Linked DNA regions of Schizosaccharomyces pombe. The gene in region 2 interacts genetically with the main gene of each other region. Each region holds a gene or a part of one and is shown on either strand. Other genes may lie near its edges.

Region 1 (6,183 bases), 710 kb from region 2:
GAATTACTAATAATTGTGAAAAAGGAAGAAGGATTTATGGTGTTGTAATAAAGATTTATGATAATGAAATTGTGTTTCTACTCTTAGTATTCATTATTTTAAATTTAGTTTATATGGTTATTCATTTTCAAATTATGGGTATCAATTTTATTTTTATTTTTTTTCATTTTTATTTGATTTTTTTTCATTTATTTACCACTCTATATCGCTCAAAATTGAATATCTGCCAAGTTTTGGACCTATGCGGCATTCTTTCTACGAACCATTCAATTCTTCATACCTAACCCACTATTCATTTCTAACCCATTCTGTCTAAATAAACACAATGATAAAGATTAAACTCTTTCTAATCAAATTGTTGCAAATTCATTCTCAAATCGCTAAACACCAAACATATAAGGGAATAGCGTTCTTTCCACAACCCCCTAACCAAGTTTAACGAAAATCATTAAACACCATCCACTTTGCTATCTTTTGGCGATCCCTCACAAATACACACACTATCTTCTTAGCTGACGATCCTCATGCCGATCCTTGTGTGCGCTACTACTGGTCAAAACGCAACAACCATATCGTAAAAATTGTACATCATTAGTTATTAGTAATTGTTTTGGAATACGAATAATTAATTCTCCAACTCTATTCTTAAAACAACGAATTACACTGTACCGCCTTACATCGAAATTCAGAGGGTAGAACAGGGCAAAGCAAAGCAAGGCAGAGTAAAGCACAGTAGAGAGACAAAGGAGAAAGAGGAAAAATAGCATGAGGAAACACTTTCGCCCGACGTTCAACAGCCTCAATCATGCCTTTTCGTGCCACAAAACAAGGGGAAAGACATTCGTTCATGCCTTGCATAATTCACTAAAATCAATGGCTCTGTAATATGAGCAAACCATGTAGTATCAATGCTTCTCGTCATAGCAGCCCAAATCATCAAAGCAACCATACAACATTAATGATTGTGTATTTCACTCGCTGCGACCACACACACACACACACACACACACACGCACATTCATATTATTACAACACATTCATTTACTCACAATATCCATATACTCACAATACACACACACAAACACTTCCATTCCTTCACACAAACATTACAATACTACGTTGTTTACTCTCCATCCCTCCTCCCCTCCCGTAATAAACAAACAGCGACTGACCGCTTGCCCATCCATCCAAGCCCATCGCCACGTAAGCGACATTCGCAATCCCTTCCATCTTAATTGTCATTTACTTACGTATCAGGGAAGCGCATGACAACAAAGTCTAAAGGCTTTGTATGCACTCTTCTTACCCGAGAGTGGAGAGGTTCGCACATTGAATTTAGTAATTGGTCGGATACTTGTCATTGTTGTCCGAATATGTTTTTGTAGCCTGAACTTTAATGCAAGCTAATTTAATCAAAGTGCAATGGTATTCTTGCATGGAAATAGGAAGCTGATCAAGTAAGCCGAAGTTTTGCCTCTGTGATTTTACTTGACCAAATCGGTTGTGCGTATTGATACACCGATCAAAGATGAATCATGCTGCAAAGTCAATGCTGTAGGCCTTGTCACACAGATTATAAAAGGAGAGGCGGTTGCTGTCATTTCATTCGTCTTTAAAACAATTTTTCACGTTTCATACATATTTTTATTATTCTTTTTAGTTAAGAAAGAAACAAACTTAAAACCTCTCTCTCATCTATATCAAAGGAATTAATTCATCTTACTGTGCTCTGTATATTTCCTTTGTTTATCACATACTATACTATACTATACTATACTATACTATACTATACTTTTTTTTTTTTTTTTTTAATAAACCCAAATTTGTTTGTTTGACTTGCTTTTGAGATCCTTGTATCATTCCTCCTCTTTCTTTGTTGAGCTTTTTCATTTCCTTTGACCAATCTTTTCTCTTCTTTTCACCTCTATTCTCTTCTCTTCTCCTTCTCTTTTTCATTCTATCCTTTTGCTCTTCTTACTTGCTTGCTTGTCTTGTTTAAGTAGCGTGTTTTGTTGTACTCCTGTATCATGTCTTCCGAAAAAGTCCTCGTTGGTGAATACCTTTTCACCCGTTTGCTGCAATTGGGCATCAAATCCATCCTCGGTGTACCCGGCGACTTTAACTTGGCTTTGCTCGATTTGATTGAGAAAGTGGGCGACGAAACGTTTCGCTGGGTCGGTAATGAAAACGAGCTAAACGGTGCTTATGCCGCTGATGCTTATGCTCGTGTTAAGGGCATTTCTGCCATCGTCACCACTTTTGGCGTCGGTGAACTTTCCGCACTCAACGGTTTCGCCGGCGCATACTCTGAACGTATTCCTGTCGTTCACATTGTCGGTGTTCCCAACACCAAGGCTCAAGCCACTCGTCCCCTTCTTCATCACACACTGGGAAATGGTGACTTTAAAGTCTTCCAGCGTATGTCCTCCGAGTTGTCTGCCGATGTCGCCTTCCTGGATAGCGGTGACTCTGCCGGTCGTCTCATCGACAACCTGTTGGAAACGTGCGTTCGCACTTCAAGACCCGTTTATCTGGCCGTTCCTTCGGACGCCGGCTACTTCTACACGGATGCTTCTCCCTTGAAGACTCCATTGGTTTTCCCTGTTCCCGAAAACAACAAGGAGATTGAGCACGAGGTGGTTTCTGAGATTCTCGAATTGATCGAAAAATCCAAGAACCCTTCTATCCTCGTTGACGCTTGTGTTTCCCGCTTCCACATTCAACAGGAAACCCAAGACTTTATTGATGCGACCCATTTCCCCACTTACGTTACTCCCATGGGTAAGACTGCGATCAATGAGTCATCCCCCTACTTTGATGGCGTCTACATTGGCTCCTTGACCGAGCCTTCCATCAAAGAACGTGCCGAATCTACTGACTTGCTTCTCATCATCGGTGGTCTTCGCTCCGATTTCAACTCGGGCACCTTTACTTATGCTACCCCTGCATCTCAAACCATCGAATTTCATTCCGACTACACCAAAATTCGTTCTGGCGTTTACGAGGGCATTTCGATGAAACATTTGTTGCCCAAGCTCACCGCTGCCATTGACAAAAAGTCCGTTCAGGCAAAGGCCCGTCCTGTTCACTTTGAGCCACCAAAGGCTGTTGCTGCTGAGGGTTACGCCGAAGGAACCATTACCCACAAATGGTTCTGGCCTACGTTTGCCTCTTTTCTTCGTGAGTCCGATGTAGTGACTACCGAGACAGGTACCTCCAACTTTGGTATTTTGGATTGCATTTTCCCCAAAGGCTGCCAAAATCTCTCACAGGTATTATGGGGCTCAATTGGTTGGTCGGTTGGCGCTATGTTTGGTGCTACGTTGGGCATCAAGGATTCCGATGCTCCTCACCGTCGTTCCATATTGATTGTTGGTGACGGTTCCCTTCATTTAACTGTTCAGGAAATTTCTGCTACCATCCGTAACGGTCTCACCCCTATCATATTTGTAATTAACAATAAGGGATATACAATTGAACGTCTCATTCACGGTCTTCACGCTGTTTACAACGACATCAACACTGAATGGGACTATCAAAACCTTCTTAAAGGCTATGGTGCCAAAAATTCTCGCTCCTATAACATTCATTCAGAAAAGGAGCTCCTCGATCTCTTTAAAGATGAGGAATTTGGAAAAGCTGATGTAATTCAGCTCGTTGAAGTTCATATGCCTGTCTTGGATGCTCCTCGTGTTTTGATTGAGCAAGCCAAACTTACCGCTTCTCTTAACAAGCAGTAAAAAATATGGCTATGGCTATATTATTATGATATGTTTTTGATTTTGAAATTTACAATATTTCTCAAATGATGCTTTTGTTAGGTTAGTTAATTTGCAACAGTCGTTTTTTTTTTCTACGTCAATCCATATTTCTTTCATAAAATGAATGAATATATTGAAGTTTATGCAGCGGTTGTTTTTTTGTTGGTAATTAGGATTCATTGAATGATTTATTTTTTTTTTCTTTTTGCATCCCCTTACTCCAAGGTAGACTTGTCCAGATAATTCCCTGTTAGTATAAACTCAATAACATAAAAAAAGGTCATTGAGACGACTGGTAATGAGTAGCAGCAATAGAATCACTAAATAATATAGTACCTTCAATTTGGTCTCTCGTCTATGTCTTTGGCATAGATGGTAGATACAAAGCATTCGCTACAACCAAATCTTCCTCATGGCTTACAGATACCATTACGGGAGAAAGCGGAAATCGGGGATCATGAATAACAACGGAAGGGTAGCCTATATTAATCATAACAAAGTCAGTAACTTTACAAACCTTTTATTTTTAAACATTGAACATGGAAAACAAATGACACACCTGTGGGAGTTCGAACATACTCCATCATAGACATGTAAACTCGAAAATTCGGTTGTAAAGCTTTGAAAACAGCTTCTTTGACGCACCATCTACATAGGAAAATAACCGTTAAAACTATGAAACGATCATAAATATAGACAAGCATACCTAACAGCAAGCCATTTAGCCTGTTCGCTTAAACGAGGCAGCGAGGAATTGCTTTTAATCAGGTTGTACTTTTTAATTTCATTTTCACACAGACATTTTTTTAAAAAGTTCTTTTCCCATTCAGGAGAGCGTTGAATTAATCTTGAGATTCTTGAAATTTTTAAAATGTCAATCCCTAAACCCATTTCGATTTTTGATTCTTTATAACATGAACAGGAAATATTAATGGTAATGCAAGAAGAAAAAAAGAAATCTATGGCTTCAATAATTTTGAACGCTTAATTAATAATATATTGTAAACTAAATTTCCGACACACTAAACGAGATATAAAAATCTTTATCCTTAAATAAAATGAAATAAATTTATCTAATTCATTATCGATTAGTGCCCCCAAAGACATCAAATCCAATTCGTTTCGTAGCGAATGCAGTAGCAGGAGTTTTTACTGTAACAAGTGTACTCTCTACTCACTCCCAGTTACAAAAGTGTTCAAAGGGAACCAAAAATTATATATTTGTAATCCTTTCAATCACGAAAAAAAAAATTTCATATGGTAAGAGATAGAATTTATCTCTAGATAATACGAGTACTAACCATATAGTCACACTTTGAGATTTTATCCCTTGAAGGTCTTCGAAATGGTAAGCCAATTCATTTATGGGAAATGAAAAAGAAACTTAAAATTTACATTCAAACATCTATGATTCTTATAAAATGTATTAATCTTTCTGTGTGCTAATATTTGTTGCAAGATGGTCGACGGTGGGATGAGATGAGAAACTTTCAGTGTCGTATTGGAATCGAGCCTTCGGAGAATGGGTCGGCGTTTATTGAATTGGGTAACACAAAGGTCTTGTGTATAGTCGATGGACCCTCGGAGCCTGTAATAAAGTCCAAAGCTAGAGCTGACAGAACATTTGTGAATGTCGAAATAAACATTGCTTCTTTCAGCACAATAGATGTGAAAAAGAGATTTAAATCGGATAGGAGAATTCAATTGCAATGTTTAGCTTTACAAAATACATTTGAGGAGATAATTCAAACAGAATTATATCCCAGAAGTCAAATTTCTGTCTACTTGCATGTTTTACAAGATGATGGTGCAGTAATGGCATCTTGTATCAACGCTACTACTCTTGCCTTAATAGATGCTGGTATACCAGTTAAAGATTTCGTTTGCTGTAGTACAGCTGGGATTGTTGAGTCTGATATGCTGTTGGATTTAAACTCACTAGAGGAGTCAGCTCTTTCATGGTTGACGGTTGCTGTTTTGGGGAACATAAAAAAGGTCGTATATATGCAGCTGGAAACTAGTATGCATTTGGATTATTTGGAGTCAGTAATGAATATGGCGATCGCTGGATCAGAACATATTTATAACACGATGCAAAGTGCGGTTCGACAAAGCGCTAAACCGGCACTTGCAAGTCTCAGCTAATGACAAAATTTTGGGGAAAAAAACTATTAAAAATAAATGAACGGGAAGATTAATTTTTATAATTATACATTGATAAGTCATCACAATTGCAACTTTACTTAGCTCTACGATATTCTGACAAAACGTATACAGCTTTACTCATTTTATTCCTAGTACAACGTTTTTGTCCTTATCCTTGGTATTTCTGTATAAGTATCAAAAAAATCACCTCGAATATCGTATATAATCTTTTAATGATTGCGTCCCTTTTTTGTCTAAAGGGGCTTATATTACAAAA
Region 2 (10,248 bases):
CTGATGGTCCTACAATTTGCAAGGGAAACGAAATTGCTTTGAAGAATAATATTACTTTAGAAAAAGTATTTGAAACTGTAAAGCTCGCTCGTGATGCAGGTGTAACTATCCCTATAATTTTGATGGGTTACTACAATCCTATTTTCAGTTATGGAGATGCCAAAACTATTCAAAAGGCAAAGGAGGTTGGCGCTAATGGTTTCATCATCGTTGACCTTCCTCCAGAGGAGGCTGTCGGCTTTAGAGAAGAATGTAAAAAGCAAGGTGTTAGTTTCGTTCCTCTTGTTGCTCCTTCTACTACGGACAGGCGTATGGAGCTCTTGGCCTCTGTGGCTGACTCCTTTATTTACGTTGTTTCTCGTATGGGTAGTACAGGATCATCTGCTACCGGAGTAATCAATACTGCTTTGCCTCAGCTCTGTCAGCGTGTTCGTAAATTTGCTGGAGATACCCCTCTAGCAGTTGGTTTTGGTGTTAACACCAGTGAACATTTCCACCAAGTTGGCAGCGTGTCAGATGGTGTTGTAGTTGGAAGCAAAATTATCGATTTGATTTTGAAGGCAGAGCCTGGCACTGCTGCTACCGTGGTTGAGGAATATTGTAAATATCTTACTAAAGAAGACCCATCCGCACCTGTACCTAAACAGTTTCAATCCGGTGGTTCTGTTGCTACTGCCCCCCCTGCTGCTGTGGTCGAACCTATCAACGAAATGTATCTTCCTCAAAAATATGGCATGTTTGGTGGTATGTATGTTCCAGAAGCATTAACCCAGTGCTTAGTTGAACTTGAAAGTGTATTTTATAAGGCTTTGCATGATGAAAAGTTTTGGGAAGAATTTCGTTCTTATTATGAGTATATGGGTCGTCCAAGTGCCCTCGATTATGCTAAGCGTTTAACTGAGTATTGTGGTGGTGCCCATATTTGGTTGAAGCGTGAAGACTTGAATCATGGTGGTTCACACAAAATTAACAACTGTATTGGGCAAATTCTTCTTGCCAAACGTTTAGGAAAAAACCGTATCATTGCTGAAACTGGTGCTGGTCAGCATGGAGTTGCTACTGCTATCTGTGCCGCTAAATTTGGTATGAAATGTACTATCTACATGGGTGCAGAAGATTGTCGTCGTCAAGCACTCAACGTTTTTCGCATCCGTCTTTTGGGAGCTGAAGTCGTTCCGGTTACTTCAGGTACACAGACCCTTCGTGATGCTGTTAACGAAGCTTTGAAGGCGTGGGTCGAACAAATAGACACCACTCATTATTTAATTGGATCTGCAATTGGCCCTCATCCATTCCCTACCATTGTTAAAACTTTCCAAAGTGTCATTGGCGAGGAAACGAAAGCGCAAATGCAAGAGAAGCGTAAAAAACTTCCTGATGCAGTTGTTGCTTGTGTTGGTGGTGGATCCAATTCGATTGGAATGTTTTCTCCCTTCAAAGCCGATAAAAGTGTAATGATGTTGGGTTGTGAAGCTGGTGGTGATGGTGTAGATACCCCCAAACATAGTGCTACATTGACTATGGGAAAAGTTGGTGTATTTCATGGAGTTCGAACATATGTTCTGCAACGCGAAGATGGACAAATTCAAGATACTCACTCTATATCTGCTGGATTGGATTATCCAGGTGTGGGACCCGAATTATCTGAACTTAAATATACCAATCGCGCAGAGTTTATCGCTGTCACTGATGCTCAATGTTTAGAAGGATTCCGCGCTCTATGTCATCTTGAAGGTATCATTCCCGCTTTGGAATCTTCTCATGCTGTGTATGGTGGAATGGAGCTTGCTAAAAAGTTACCTAAAGATAAGGATATTGTGATCACCATTTCAGGTCGTGGTGACAAGGATGTTCAAAGCGTAGCTGAACAACTTCCTATTTTAGGTCCTAAAATTGGATGGGACCTTCGCTTTTAAGCAATGTTCTACTCACGATTTTCTGATTTATATTAAGGCTCCGTAAACTTAAGCGGAGTTGCGATCTATAGATATACAAGCATCGCATGCGATTAAACTTTTTTATACCAAAACATATGTGTATTTCTTTTTATCTATAAATATCATTTCAATTTTGCTTCTACTATTTACTAGCCTTAAATAGCGTTGTAGTCATGTAATAACCTGTACATAATACTGTACTTATTTACCTAATAAAGGTTTTCTGTGGATTTAATTTCTTAGGCTAATTTTTCAAAGGCTTAAGAGAATTATGTGTATGCTGAAGAAGAACATTCAACAAAGCGGTTTTCTTTAGTCTATGATTTTGAGAATCATGTCCTATTTACACTACAATGCAAGTGCAAAAAATGTTTTAAAACAATTTATCAGCACGAGCAAGATGTCGTAGTATTTTCAATTTATATGGTTTTGGCTTTTTAGAGTCGCGACATAGTCTATTAACATAAGCTTTAATCTTTGGTATATTAGCAAATCTTCCAGATTGAAGTTAGCAGTTTATGGAGAGAAAATAAAATTCTTTCTGTATATTCGCCTAATAAGACCACTCAAGTCTTTAGCACTGAATAATAAAAAGTGTCACAAATCTTTGAACTATGGTAAAACTCCCAATTACAATTACTTAAGTTCGCACTCCTAAAACAGCATTACCCGTAGAATAAATTGAAAAAAAAGTATAAAATCAAACAAGTGGTACAGATCAAATTTTTAAAAATTTAGTAATGTTTCTATGTTTTTATATTACAATATTCAGATAGGTAGTATTCTCGCTTACAGTTTAGACAGTAAATGTAACATTAGTGTTTCTCCACAATTCCCCACATAGTTAATAGTAAAGTTGAGGACAAAATTATGATTTATCTATATATTCTATGAATTACATATGACCCTAGATGTACCCATTCGACAAAAGTATCCTTCAAATAATAGGTCTTAAAAACAAAGACTTGCTCATTAGAAGCAATCGATCGTTCATTCACTTTACTAAAGGATTTACCAATATGTATTGGGGGCGTCGTTTCTAAGGCAAGGTAGTACGTTAGAGTTCGTAATATAATTGTTCGGTTAGTTAAGTGAAGAGCGATATGTGAATTAAAACCACCACATCAACCATATAAAAACTACATTATTTATGAAACCATAAGCATTCTGTTTAATTCATTAAATTAGGACAGAAATTAATTAGGCTCTTGCAAGGATCAAATTGGAGTGAAATTGCATCTCTTTACGATATTTCAAGTTGTGTTTTATTGCATTAGATTTAGAGGAGCAATCAGCAACGATCTATTAGCAGTGAACGTTAACGAATATCTCAATTACATTCGGATCTTTAATTATTTGGTTTATTTATTTTTTTAATAACAAAAAAGGGAAAGAAAAATTGGGGAAAGAGAAGGGAATAATTATATTGTTAATTTTGCAATATTTTTTATCATTTAATTAGCAAACTTTTATTATTTAATTTTTAGGCAAATTTGACAACTCATCTCTTCATTTAGTCAATTTTTATTTGTTTTGACATTTGTGAGATATCCAGGGATCGATAGCCTCTGTCTACAAAGGGTCGTGTCTCTTAGTTTTCGTCAATCAGTTTCTTTCAAGATCTAGAAGGCGTACTAATTATTTCTACTTGGAGACTTTAAAGCTTGGGTATTGCTTGTCCACTGTGCTTATGTATCTGAACATAGCTACAATCTCTGCTACAAAAGCTAAAGAGAGAAGTCCCCTCCAAGAAGGGATCAAATTTATTTCGTTAGGGTTTTCTTCTGGTCAAACTTTTTTTTGGATAGGATAAGTTTTTAATTACAATAAATTCAGCGGCTGGGGTTTCATAAGTGCCCCATATTTCGAGGGTACCAGGTTCACGTTTTTTGCGTCTCCTCAAGTACTCAGAGATTCCACGGAATTTCTTTCAATTTAATTTTTTTTACATCATTTTATTTCTCTGAGCTTTCTTTAATTAATCTTCCAAAGTCACCATTCAATTTGCATTTCTTGGCATACTTTTTGAAGCAAATTTTTATTTCTCATAAGGATTTTATTTTCATTTCATTTTATTTCTAAGAACAATATGCGTAGTTATTCGAACCCAGAAAATGGTGGTCAAATTAATGACAATATTAATTATTCTGAGAAGCGACCTACAATGCTCCCGGAGAATTTGTCCTTGAGCAACTATGACATGGATTCTTTTCTCGGTCAGTTTCCATCTGATAATAACATGCAATTACCCCATTCAACGTATGAGCAGCATCTTCAAGGGGAACAGCAAAATCCTACCAATCCTAATTATTTTCCTCCTGAATTTGACGAAAACAAAGTAGATTGGAAACAGGAGAAACCCAAACCGGATGCACCGAGTTTTGCAGATAATAATTCATTTGATAATGTGAATAGTTCGAAATTGACGAATCCATCGCCAGTTCAACCTAATATTGTTAAATCTGAGTCGGAACCTGCTAATTCAAAGCAAAATGAAGTTGTTGAAGCTACATCTGTTGAGAAAGCTAAGGAGAATGTCGCTCACGAAAGTGGTACTCCTGAGAGCGGCGGATCTACTTCTGCGCCAAAGAGCAAAAAACAGCGCCTTACTGCAGATCAACTTGCTTATTTGCTTCGGGAATTCTCCAAAGATACTAATCCACCTCCAGCTATAAGGGAAAAAATTGGACGCGAGTTGAATATTCCGGAACGTAGCGTAACTATTTGGTTTCAAAACAGAAGAGCAAAATCAAAGCTCATTTCAAGACGTCAAGAAGAAGAAAGACAAAGGATCCTTCGTGAGCAGAGAGAATTGGATTCCTTAAATCAAAAAGTTTCACAAGCATTTGCGCACGAAGTATTGTCTACTTCACCTACCAGTCCCTACGTTGGGGGAATAGCAGCTAATAGGCAGTATGCGAACACGTTATTGCCTAAACCAACTAGAAAAACAGGAAACTTTTATATGAAAAGTGGACCTATGCAATCTTCCATGGAGCCATGCATAGCAGAGTCAGACATTCCGATCCGTCAGTCTCTTTCTAGTACATACTACAATAGTCTAAGTCCAAATGCCGTTCCTGTCTCAAGTCAAAGGAAATACTCTGCCTCTTCTTATTCCGCAATCCCAAATGCTATGTCGGTATCAAATCAAGCTTTCGACGTAGAATCTCCACCCTCTTCGTATGCTACTCCACTTACAGGCATCCGTATGCCTCAACCAGAGTCAGATCTTTACTCCTATCCTAGAGAAGTGAGCCCTAGTTCTGGGGGTTACAGAATGTTCGGTCATTCCAAGCCTTCATCATACAAAGCATCAGGGCCTGTTCGTCCTCCTAATATGGCAACAGGGCACATGCGTACTTCTTCAGAACCGACCTCATATGATTCGGAATTTTACTACTTTTCTTGTACATTACTAGTAATTGGTTTATGGAAAAGACTACGAGCCTCTCCTCAGGATTTAATGTGTTTCTACTCTCCGCCAAAGAAATTATTTGCATATTTGATTCAATTCCAGGGGATTCAGTATCGTATTGAATATTCTTTTTTTGTCATTGAGTCGATACACGTTTTTAGAGTAGAGGAGCCCTTGTTAAATGAGTTGAGTGCAACTGCGTCTAGTCGAGATAAACCGGCACCAAATGAATATTGGCTTCAAATGGATATTCAGCTGAGTGTTCCACCAGTATTTCACATGATCACTTCCGAAGGACAGGGAAATTGTACGGATTTTACTGAGGGTAATCAGGCTTCGGAAGTTTTATTACATTCTTTGATGGGAAGAGCTACTAGCATGTTTCAAATGCTCGATCGGGTTCGAAGGGCATCGCCAGAGTTGGGGTCTGTAATCCGCCTTCAAAAAGGTCTTAATCCTCACCAATTTTTGGACCCTCAATGGGCTAATCAACTTCCTAGACAACCTGATAGCTCTGTATTTGATCATCAAGGAAGAAACCCTCCTATCCAGGGATTGTCTCATGACACTTCTTCTGAATATGGCAATAAAAGCCAGTTTAAAAGGCTTCGTAGCACTTCAACCCCTGCTAGACAGGATTTGGCTCAGCATCTTTTACCTCCGAAAACTAATACTGAAGGGCTTATGCATGCTCAATCTGTGTCTCCTATTACTCAAGCAATGAAATCTGCTAATGTTTTGGAAGGAAGTTCTACAAGACTAAACTCTTATGAGCCTTCAGTTTCATCTGCTTATCCGCACCATAATTTAGCGCTTAATCTTGATAACACGCAGTTTGGTGAGCTTGGCACATCTAATATATCATATCCTTTATCGGCACCATCCGATGTCGGCTCACTTCCTCGAGCATCCAATTCACCAAGCCGACCTGTGATGCATCCAAATACACAAGGTATTAACACGGAAATAAAAGACATGGCAGCGCAGTTTCCCAATTCACAAACTGGTGGTCTCACTCCAAATTCATGGTCAATGAACACAAACGTATCCGTCCCATTTACGACTCAAAACAGAGAATTTGGCGGCATTGGCTCTTCTTCAATTTCCACCACGATGAATGCACCAAGTCAACAGTTATCTCAGGTACCATTTGGAGATGTCTCCCTTGCTACTGAGAACTCTGTCCCGTCGTATGGATTTGAAGTACCATCTGAAGAGTCTGTTTACGCGCAAGCCCGTACAAATTCATCTGTTTCTGCTGGGGTTGCTCCTCGGTTATTCATTCAAACACCGTCTATACCTTTAGCATCATCTGCTGGACAGGATAGTAATTTAATTGAGAAAAGTAGTAGCGGTGGTGTGTATGCGTCGCAACCCGGAGCTTCGGGCTACTTATCTCATGACCAAAGTGGTAGTCCATTTGAGGATGTTTACTCTCCTTCTGCTGGTATAGATTTTCAGAAACTTCGTGGTCAACAATTTTCTCCGGACATGCAGTAAATTTTGTGATATGATGATTAACGGTACAATTGAAACTCGCTTGAAGCTTGCTTATTTTCGTTTTCTTTTGATAACGAGAAGATGTTTAACTCTTGAAAATTACATGCCTCGTTTGTATTTTTATGACCGCTTACGTTTTTATAAATTCATCAATATCTCTAAAAGGTTTAAAGGATTAATTTTTGATCTATATTATACAAGGTATTCTTGAATAATGTTTAATTTGGTGATAAAAATACAATTCCATGGAAAAAAATTGTGCTTCCATGTATTATTGTCTGGGAAGAACTTTGATGCGAAAAAAAAAATAAAAGACCTCTACAAGGCACTTCATATACGATTATGTATGGTTTATGTTTTTTTTACTTCTTTAATTTTATTTTATTTTATGTTCCAAAGCGATAGGAGGTATTACATATTGTTGTATCGTGTATGCAATACTTAATGATCCTAGCATTTCATTTGAAGAAACTCCGTCAATGATCGAATCCAAATTCCACTGAAAAAATGTAATGGAGTTTGAACAGTATCGTACCCACGAGCGTGAGTTGGATTATTGAGTTTTTGCATGTTTAGCCGACACATATTTTTTTGGCGACTTTAAACTTTTTTATTTACCATTTATTTCTCTTTTTAAGTTATGAATAATTTCTTTTTCCTCATGTATATTATTACTTTATTTTCATGTTTTTTTTTTTATTAATTTGACATTTAGGACGATTATTATTTTCGTTATTTCTCCTTTCCAGCGGGAACGTTTCAGCATCACAGTTTTTGCACATAAACTATAATAATTTTGAAAGCATTATGAGTTAATTTAGTAGAATTAGATTCTTTGAAACATAATCCATCAACGAAGCTGTCCGCCTTTTTTTTAAGAGGTGCATGCCATATATAGTCATTTTCTGTGTAAATAAACATTTCACTAGTAGATAATTTTTTGAGATGAGCAAAGAATTGAATGAACCAAAGTAATAATTGTTAAGATATAATATTAGAAAATTTATTTTAAAGATGTATATTAGAATGTATTTAGACTAAGCTCGTAATATATATTTTTTTCATTTTCTTAAAATTTATTTTGTTTTATTATAAGAATGAATTTATGTTTCATGAATGGAGAATATCAATAAAAAAATTGTTTGGAGGTGACAAATATATAAGATTTGCTTTTAATATCTATAAAATAATTTTTATCAGTTAGTACAAAAGTATAGGACAAAAATATGAACAATGATTTCGGGCGCCTACTTTGAAGGTGATGTTGTTTTTTGCTGATGCCTATAAGCTGAAGCTAAAGCAGCACACACCAGATTAGATAGATGATTGATTATACTGAAACACTCTAAGATACGGAAATTCTCCGAACAATAAGAAAGCCAAAAAAGAGAAAAAGAAGTGAAAGAAACGCCTTCCATATATCGATTGAACATTGCGACCAATCGATCAACTAACAAGAACAAGTAAGCCAGCCCAGCCCTTCTTCTTCCACTGTTTACCGAATAATGAAGAACAATATGTAGCAAGCCAGTAAATAGCGATACTTACTGCAATATATAACCACATCACATATTTAGCGCATGACGTAGTTTACTTCTTCAAACTACACTATAGTTTTGGACATGAAACGGTTGAACGTCAATATAGTGTCTTAATGACGAGAATGCACGTATTCTTGAACCTGTCATTACTAGAGTAGCCATTCTCATATGAGCCATTCTTTTATGAACAGGAGAGTGGATTGACACTAATACTTCGTAAGTAAAGATGATTATGCAAGTTTTCATGACGCCACAGCCTAATTCGAGTATGGCTGAGATAGTCATAACGTAAAGGCTTTAAATAAATGTATTTAATGTCGCCATGGTCCTATAAAGTTATAATCTTTGTACAGAATTGAAATAAAGTTGCGACAAGGAATTTTAGGAAAATAAAGCGAAACCATATATCTCTTTACTTAAGGAGGATTCCATCAAAGCGACATTTGATTATTTGTTTGATTGATCGCACTTGTGTGTCTGTCTATCCCATAACAAGAGGTTTTTACTGTAAAATCCTGATTTTGGAGTGCTGAAGAGGAAAGGATATCTTCAGTCTTGTTTATTTATCACTTTTACACTTGTAACCATCTGATATTAGCTGACGTGTCTCGCTTGTTACTATCATTAAGTGATTAATTGCTGCTAATCTTTTTCGCATTAGTCGTTGAGCAAGTATGGCGGTTGCTTATCCCACTGACAAGCATGTTGTGCATGAGGAAACTGGAAAAGGATTAGAAGTTTATTCAATATGGACAGCTATTTCGAACGGCAAGATGCCCTCGAACAAACAGCTTCGAGGGCTCGGTTCGTCGCTGACGGACGGTGCGAAATCCGTTGCCAAAGAGAGGCAAAAGAAAATCTCTGATCCGGCTCGGAAATTTTTTAGTGACTTTTCCAAGCTTATTGATAATAGCTTTAATGTATTTGCGAAAAAGAACGAAGGAGATTTGCTCCAAAACGCAATTTATGAATTATCGCAAGCTGAAGGCTCTACAAATGTTAATGAGGTTTGGAATGATATCACCGAAGATATGCAAAGTCAAGATTTCAGTACCGAGGACCTGAAGCAGTTGTTCTTGCTCATCTTTAACAATGGTAAACTGCGAACGCTTTTGCAAAACGCCATTGTACTTTTGGGCCAGCAAACAACGAATGTTGCCAGTAAAAAATTGAACGAGCAGGATGGAAAAAAATCGGATAACCTTCGCAATGGAGTGAACAAAGTTAAGCAAAACATGAGAAATGGAGCTTCCGCACGCGACCAAGCTCGCGAACAAGGAAGCAAGGCCAAAGATAAGATTAAAAATGATCCTGATGCGCAAAAGGCTAAAGAGGAAACCAAACAAAAACTTCAAGATCTTTACGAAGAGTTTAAATCTGTCGCTGTGGATTTGCAGGGAGATCCAAAATATCAGCATCCTGTTCGCAGTCTTTTGAATCTAATTGACAAGTTCATCGATAAACTCAGTGAACAGAGTGGAAATGTTACTGCTGACACTAACGAACATTACGATCGTGCTATGCAATATTTGAAGCAACTCGTGGAAAACATTTTAAATCGATCTCTTGATAATTTGATTGACACCTTAAAACAAGTACAGCATGATGCTGAGAATGATGAAGAACTAAAAGACTGGTTAGAATCTACCCGCCAGTTTGTTCGCAAGGTGCTTTTGAAAAAGGGCTATGCAAAAAGTGATGCCTCGGATAAAGAATTTAACAAGTTGCGAGATAAAGGCGATGAACTGCTTAACGGTCGGTACAAGAAACGTTGGCAACAACTCTCATCCGAAGTCAAAAAGATTTCCGATAGTGCTTCTTCCGACAAGGATGTCAAGCAATTATTTAGCAA
Region 3 (4,896 bases), 1.4 Mb from region 2:
AAAGTTCATCTTGCCTTACAGTTTCACAATTGTCCCCCAAGTCGACAATTTATAGAATCAGAAAGAAATACTTTGCTTCAAAAAAAATCGATAAATTATTAATCTGGGTGTATAGTATTTCATTTGTTTACTTTCAATAACAACATATTTAAGGCTCTGTAGCTATGCTTGATTGTACAGCAGTGAATCACATCAAGGTTTTTCCATACACTAACAGAAAATTCTTGACTACCTCTCCAAAGTCAAGTTGTACAAATCATGAGCATAAATCGCACACATTCTACTCATCAATCCCATTGCCAAGAGTTAAAGTATTTTGAGGATATGCGTTATTAAGTGTATCGTGTAAGCTACGCAGTTTGGTATCTGATTTAAGGATACGAAGAACTGCGGTGAGTTTTCCTTGTGGTCTATTATATTACAATACACAGGTTGTATAAGTAGCAACTGAGTATAGGTATTGTATTAACTGGGCTATAATGTTACCTATCACTAATATAGCTCATAACTGAACTGAGGAACGAGGTTCAGTTGTAACGCTATTTATAATATTTCTAAATAGTTGTTATCAACGGGTATCTATGTATATAGACGGATAGTTACCCGTGATTATCAATAAACGGATCTTAGCTAGTATTCCAACATATGACATATAGTGATACGCAACGTAGTGTATCATAGCGTAGTGTAGTATTGCTGACATATCGTAATGTACCCAATTACGGTAGAATGATTAAGAGAATTGTATTTAGGAATATACCGCCTTTAGTATTATGCGAAACGCTATTTTTTGTAATGAGCCATTTCTTTCGCGCACTAGCAAAATAGTCTCATATTGCTACTTCACGAATAGCAAAAATAAGTCATATAAAATAAGTAGCTCAAGGTAATTACTGTTTTCGGCATAATACTTTATACATCTTGGCAAATTTCTTATATAAACAGCGTCCCCCTCAGAGAACTTTTTCTGTTTTCTACCAAAATAATATGTAGGTAGATCGATGGATAGAAGCGATTAACGTATTTGCAAAACAGATCATCAGGATTTTTTTTAACTCCAAAATAACCATAGTGTCACTCGCTTCCTAGTACAAAGCATTACTATGGTTATGTTATTTTATTTTTTAAAAGCTCAATGATATTATCAGCAGTTGTACTTGCGATTCTTTCTCAAAAATGCATACTGAGAGGTTTGTTCATTATGGGAAAATTATGAGTTCACGAATATTTCTTTCTAGAGCGAATTTTATTATCCTCCTCACGTCGATTGAAGCTTCATAACAATTTGACTGTTACAAGCGATTGCTCCTAACAACTTCCGTGAACGAACGGGCTTTGCAAGTCTACCGACCGGCCTTAGGCTCTTCACACCTAGACTCAAAACGCTAATCTATATACATGTAGGACTTTTATTCTGCGAACTCTAGTGGGATTTACTGAACCAAATGGGGGTTTGATATTTTAGCTAGTCTATGCATTTGAATCTCTATGCAATGTTTGTCTACTCAAGTTTCCCTTTCTTTGAAGATCTTTACCCCCATTAGCGACCTTACTTCAACGTGGTCATTCTTACCTTACGCTAAATGTTTTAACGTCTACGAAAACGAGAACGACGATTGCTATTACCGCAACTTTAGATATCGTTATTTATTCTTCGAGTGGCGCGTTATCATCTTTAGCGGAATTTCAATTCCGCGAAGGAGCACGTAATATGATTACGAATACTGGTGGAGTAAGCCAACGCCAAGCTGAGGTGATGCTCGGCGTAGCTTATTGGCCTATTTTGGAGGCTCGAAGGCACGGACTAGACAATGCTTTGTAAAGCAAATTTGTTAAATCGATAAGTATAAAGACAATTTCTTCGTTTTTAGAATATAAAAAAACATTGGTCATATCGAAAAATTGATTTGAGTTGATATCGTTAAAATTTCATGTATATTCCGCGTGGAGCTATTTACTATATAAGCGATGACACGCCGCCCTATCCTCTTCCAATTCCAAACAAAATTTTCGAAATCTCCAACTTTGAAGTGTGGTTAAAATCTTATTGATTTTCCTTCAAAACACTTAATTACTCAAAACACCCCTTCTCTTGTTGTATTTTTTTAAAGTAAATTATCGTCATACAAAATGGTTAGAGCTGTAGCAGTTCTTCGTGGTGACTCTAAGGTCAGTGGTGTCGTTACTTTTGAACAAGTCGATCAAAACTCTCAAGTTTCTGTGATTGTGGATCTCGTTGGCAATGACGCTAATGCCAAGCGTGGTTTCCATATTCACCAATTCGGTGATAATACCAACGGTTGTACCTCTGCTGGTCCTCACTTTAACCCAGAGGGTAAGACTCACGGTGACCGTACCGCCGCTGTTCGTCACGTTGGTGATCTTGGTAACTTGGAAAGCGATGCTCAGGGCAACATCAAGACTACTTTCTCTGATTCTGTTATCTCATTGTTTGGTGCCAACAGCATCATTGGCCGTACCATTGTCATTCATGCCGGTGAGGATGATCTTGGTAAGGGTACTAGTGAAGAGTCTTTGAAGACTGGTAACGCTGGTGCACGTAACGCTTGTGGTGTCATTGGTATTGCCGTCTAAATTTATTGAGTTTTTACGTCTTTTTGTTCAAATGGCTGTGGGTTTAGGTGTTGGTTAGTATTGTTATCATTTAGTTGAGTGATCTCAAATTTCTTTTTTTTTATGAAAAGTTCCGTATATTATGCTTCTATAGGTTCTGTATTAAAAAACTTAATTTAATTGATGATGATAAGTACTGTAGCTTTGTGGAAGCTGTTTGTTACTATTATGTTATATGTGTAAAAAAATGTAGTGATGTATTTTTGTCCTTAAGACTCTGCGTTCGAGTTTACATAAAATTCAGTTAATTAGAAGGAATTGTTGTAACTTTGTTTCGGTATTGATAATGAAGAAGCAAAAGCAGCAACAATTTTTGATCTTTTAGTCAGAAAACTTTGTTTTGCATCGTTGAGTTCGTGCATAAAGATGATAGAAAGTGCTTTTCGTATTGTTTAAAAAAAGATATATAGAATGTTGATTAATAGATACACACATAGTAGCAATATCAACACATCTTGTTAAAATTCTAATGGGTGAAGCCTTTTTTTTTATTAATCATAATACCATCGTTTCATCTTTGTTGATTTTGTTATTACTTTTACGTATCAATGAATTTTTACGAACTAATTTCAACTAAACAATAACGACAGGCAAGTTTGTGTAAACTGAAAACATCTGCACAAGTTGTATTTTAAAATAAATTTTATTCTATAAGTCTAAAGGTTCACATCCAGTGTGAACAATTAATAAAATAAGTGGTTAAATAATAACCAACTAATTCAAAAAGATGCAAAAAAGAAAAACTCAGCAAGAATAATTTTAATAAATTGATCTCTAAGCCGGCCTAGACGATATCCAAAAAGGGTTTCAAGTTGAGAGTAGTTCACGTTCCAGACGTGTATTATGAACAAAATGTAGTTTTTTAAATAGTTTGAAAACATACAAGCAATAAGTATAGTACATCTGAAGAAATCCAAAAAAGCACCTCGCAATACAATTCCGGACTTTGGTCATGCTTAAGCAGCAACAAGTGCACCATTGGAGCAACCGTATATAGAGGAGTCATAGCACGCATTACCACAAGCTAACAATGGAGACCCATTTATAATGGGACACAGTATATTGCCATAACAAATATAACTTTGTGAATCATACCAAGCTGATCCACATTGGGCTATCACATTAGTGGATGTAGCAGATGTAGTAGTAGGTGTAGGTGTAGTAGTTGTGGTAGGTGTAGGTGTGAAAGTTGTAGTAGCTTTTGTTGTTGTAACAGTGTTTGGAGACAAAGAACCATCAGAACAAACATATTGGGAAGGATTATAGCATGCACCATTACAACTCAAGTAATCCACTCCGTCTATTATAGGACATAACTGATCATTGTCACAATAATAAGAGGATGCGTCGTAGTAGTTAGAGCCACATAGTTGCATGCCAGTTGACTGTGCGGTAGTAGTTGTTGAAGTTGTAGTAGGTGTGGGTGTTATTGAGGAAGTAGTTGTGGGAGTAGGCGTAATGGAGGAAGTGGTCGATGAAGATTGAACAGGGCCCAAAGCTCCATTGTCGCAGCCATATTGCGAAGGGTTATAGCAAGCTCCGTTGCAGTTTTGATATGATACACCATTAACAATAGGGCAGAGTACAGTTCCGTCGCATACATACAAACTTGCATCAAACGTAGCACCATTACAAGTACCAGAGATGCTTGTAGTAGTAGGAGTCGAAGTATAGGATATAGGTAGTGTACAACTGGCAGTTGCAGTAGTAGAGGTTGTCGTAACACTTCCGGTACTCGTAGAGGTCGTGGTGGTAGAAGAAGAGCTAACAGGATAATAAACGGCATCATTAGCCCATAAGCCAGCGGCATAAGCCAAATACCAGGCACGAGAGGCCCCGTCATCTAAGTAATCGGTATTAAAATCAGAACTGGAGAAATATTCATAACTTTCTTCAGGTTCAGCAATAGCTAGATTAGCATATAAAAGACTTCTCCAACCGCTATCTACATAGTCAATGACACTAGCAAGTAAGGCATTCCATTCAGCTAGTACAAAGCTAGGACCACGGATAAAAGCTGAAATTGGAGTGATAGGCAACATATGAATTCCTTGGATGTACTCAATATTAGTACCAAAATAGGTAGTGTGAGTAATTTTGTTCATGAATGTAATACCGGCAACATAATTAGGTTGCATAGAAGTGGGCTGGACGTTTCCATCAGCATACAGCATGTACTTATTCAAAGCATTTCTTTCAATGCCCAAAATAATGTTTGCGCGATCCTCCATATCAGAATCGCCAATTACTTGACCCCAAAGT

The links. A genetic interaction does not mean that the proteins touch.
Region 1: of phx1 (region 2) and pdc201, changing one suppresses a phenotype caused by changing the other (phenotypic suppression), as found in Schizosaccharomyces pombe (one study listed by BioGRID).
Region 3: of phx1 (region 2) and sod1, extra expression of one rescues a mutant of the other (dosage rescue), as found in Schizosaccharomyces pombe (one study listed by BioGRID).

The regions. Positions count from the first base shown.
Region 1 is NC_003424.3:3,158,203-3,164,385, forward strand, and holds pdc201 (pyruvate decarboxylase), read left to right. Parts: upstream 1-1,608; 5' UTR 1,609-2,027; coding exon 2,028-3,740; 3' UTR 3,741-4,043; downstream 4,044-6,183. Other genes in the region: ppt2 (holo-[acyl-carrier-protein] synthase new8), read right to left, coding at 4,117-4,241, 4,321-4,409, 4,468-4,652; exosome 3'-5' phosphorolytic exoribonuclease Rrp41, read left to right, coding at 5,019-5,021, 5,070-5,109, 5,221-5,906.
Region 2 is NC_003424.3:2,449,326-2,459,573, reverse strand, and holds phx1 (DNA-binding transcription factor, stationary phase-specific Phx1), read left to right. Parts: upstream 1-3,055; 5' UTR 3,056-4,026; coding exon 4,027-6,855; 3' UTR 6,856-7,781; downstream 7,782-10,248. Other genes in the region: trp2 (tryptophan synthase), read left to right, coding at 1-1,916; SPOM_SPAC32A11.02C (uncharacterized protein), read left to right, coding at 9,071-10,248. UniProt on the Schizosaccharomyces pombe protein: Trnascription factor that regulates the expression of the homocitrate synthase (HCS) lys4.
Region 3 is NC_003424.3:1,000,698-1,005,593, reverse strand, and holds sod1 (superoxide dismutase Sod1), read left to right. Parts: upstream 1-1,993; 5' UTR 1,994-2,130; coding exon 2,131-2,595; 3' UTR 2,596-2,756; downstream 2,757-4,896. Other genes in the region: cell septum surface endo-1,3-beta-glucanase Eng1, read right to left, coding at 3,591-4,896. UniProt on the Schizosaccharomyces pombe protein: Destroys radicals which are normally produced within the cells and which are toxic to biological systems.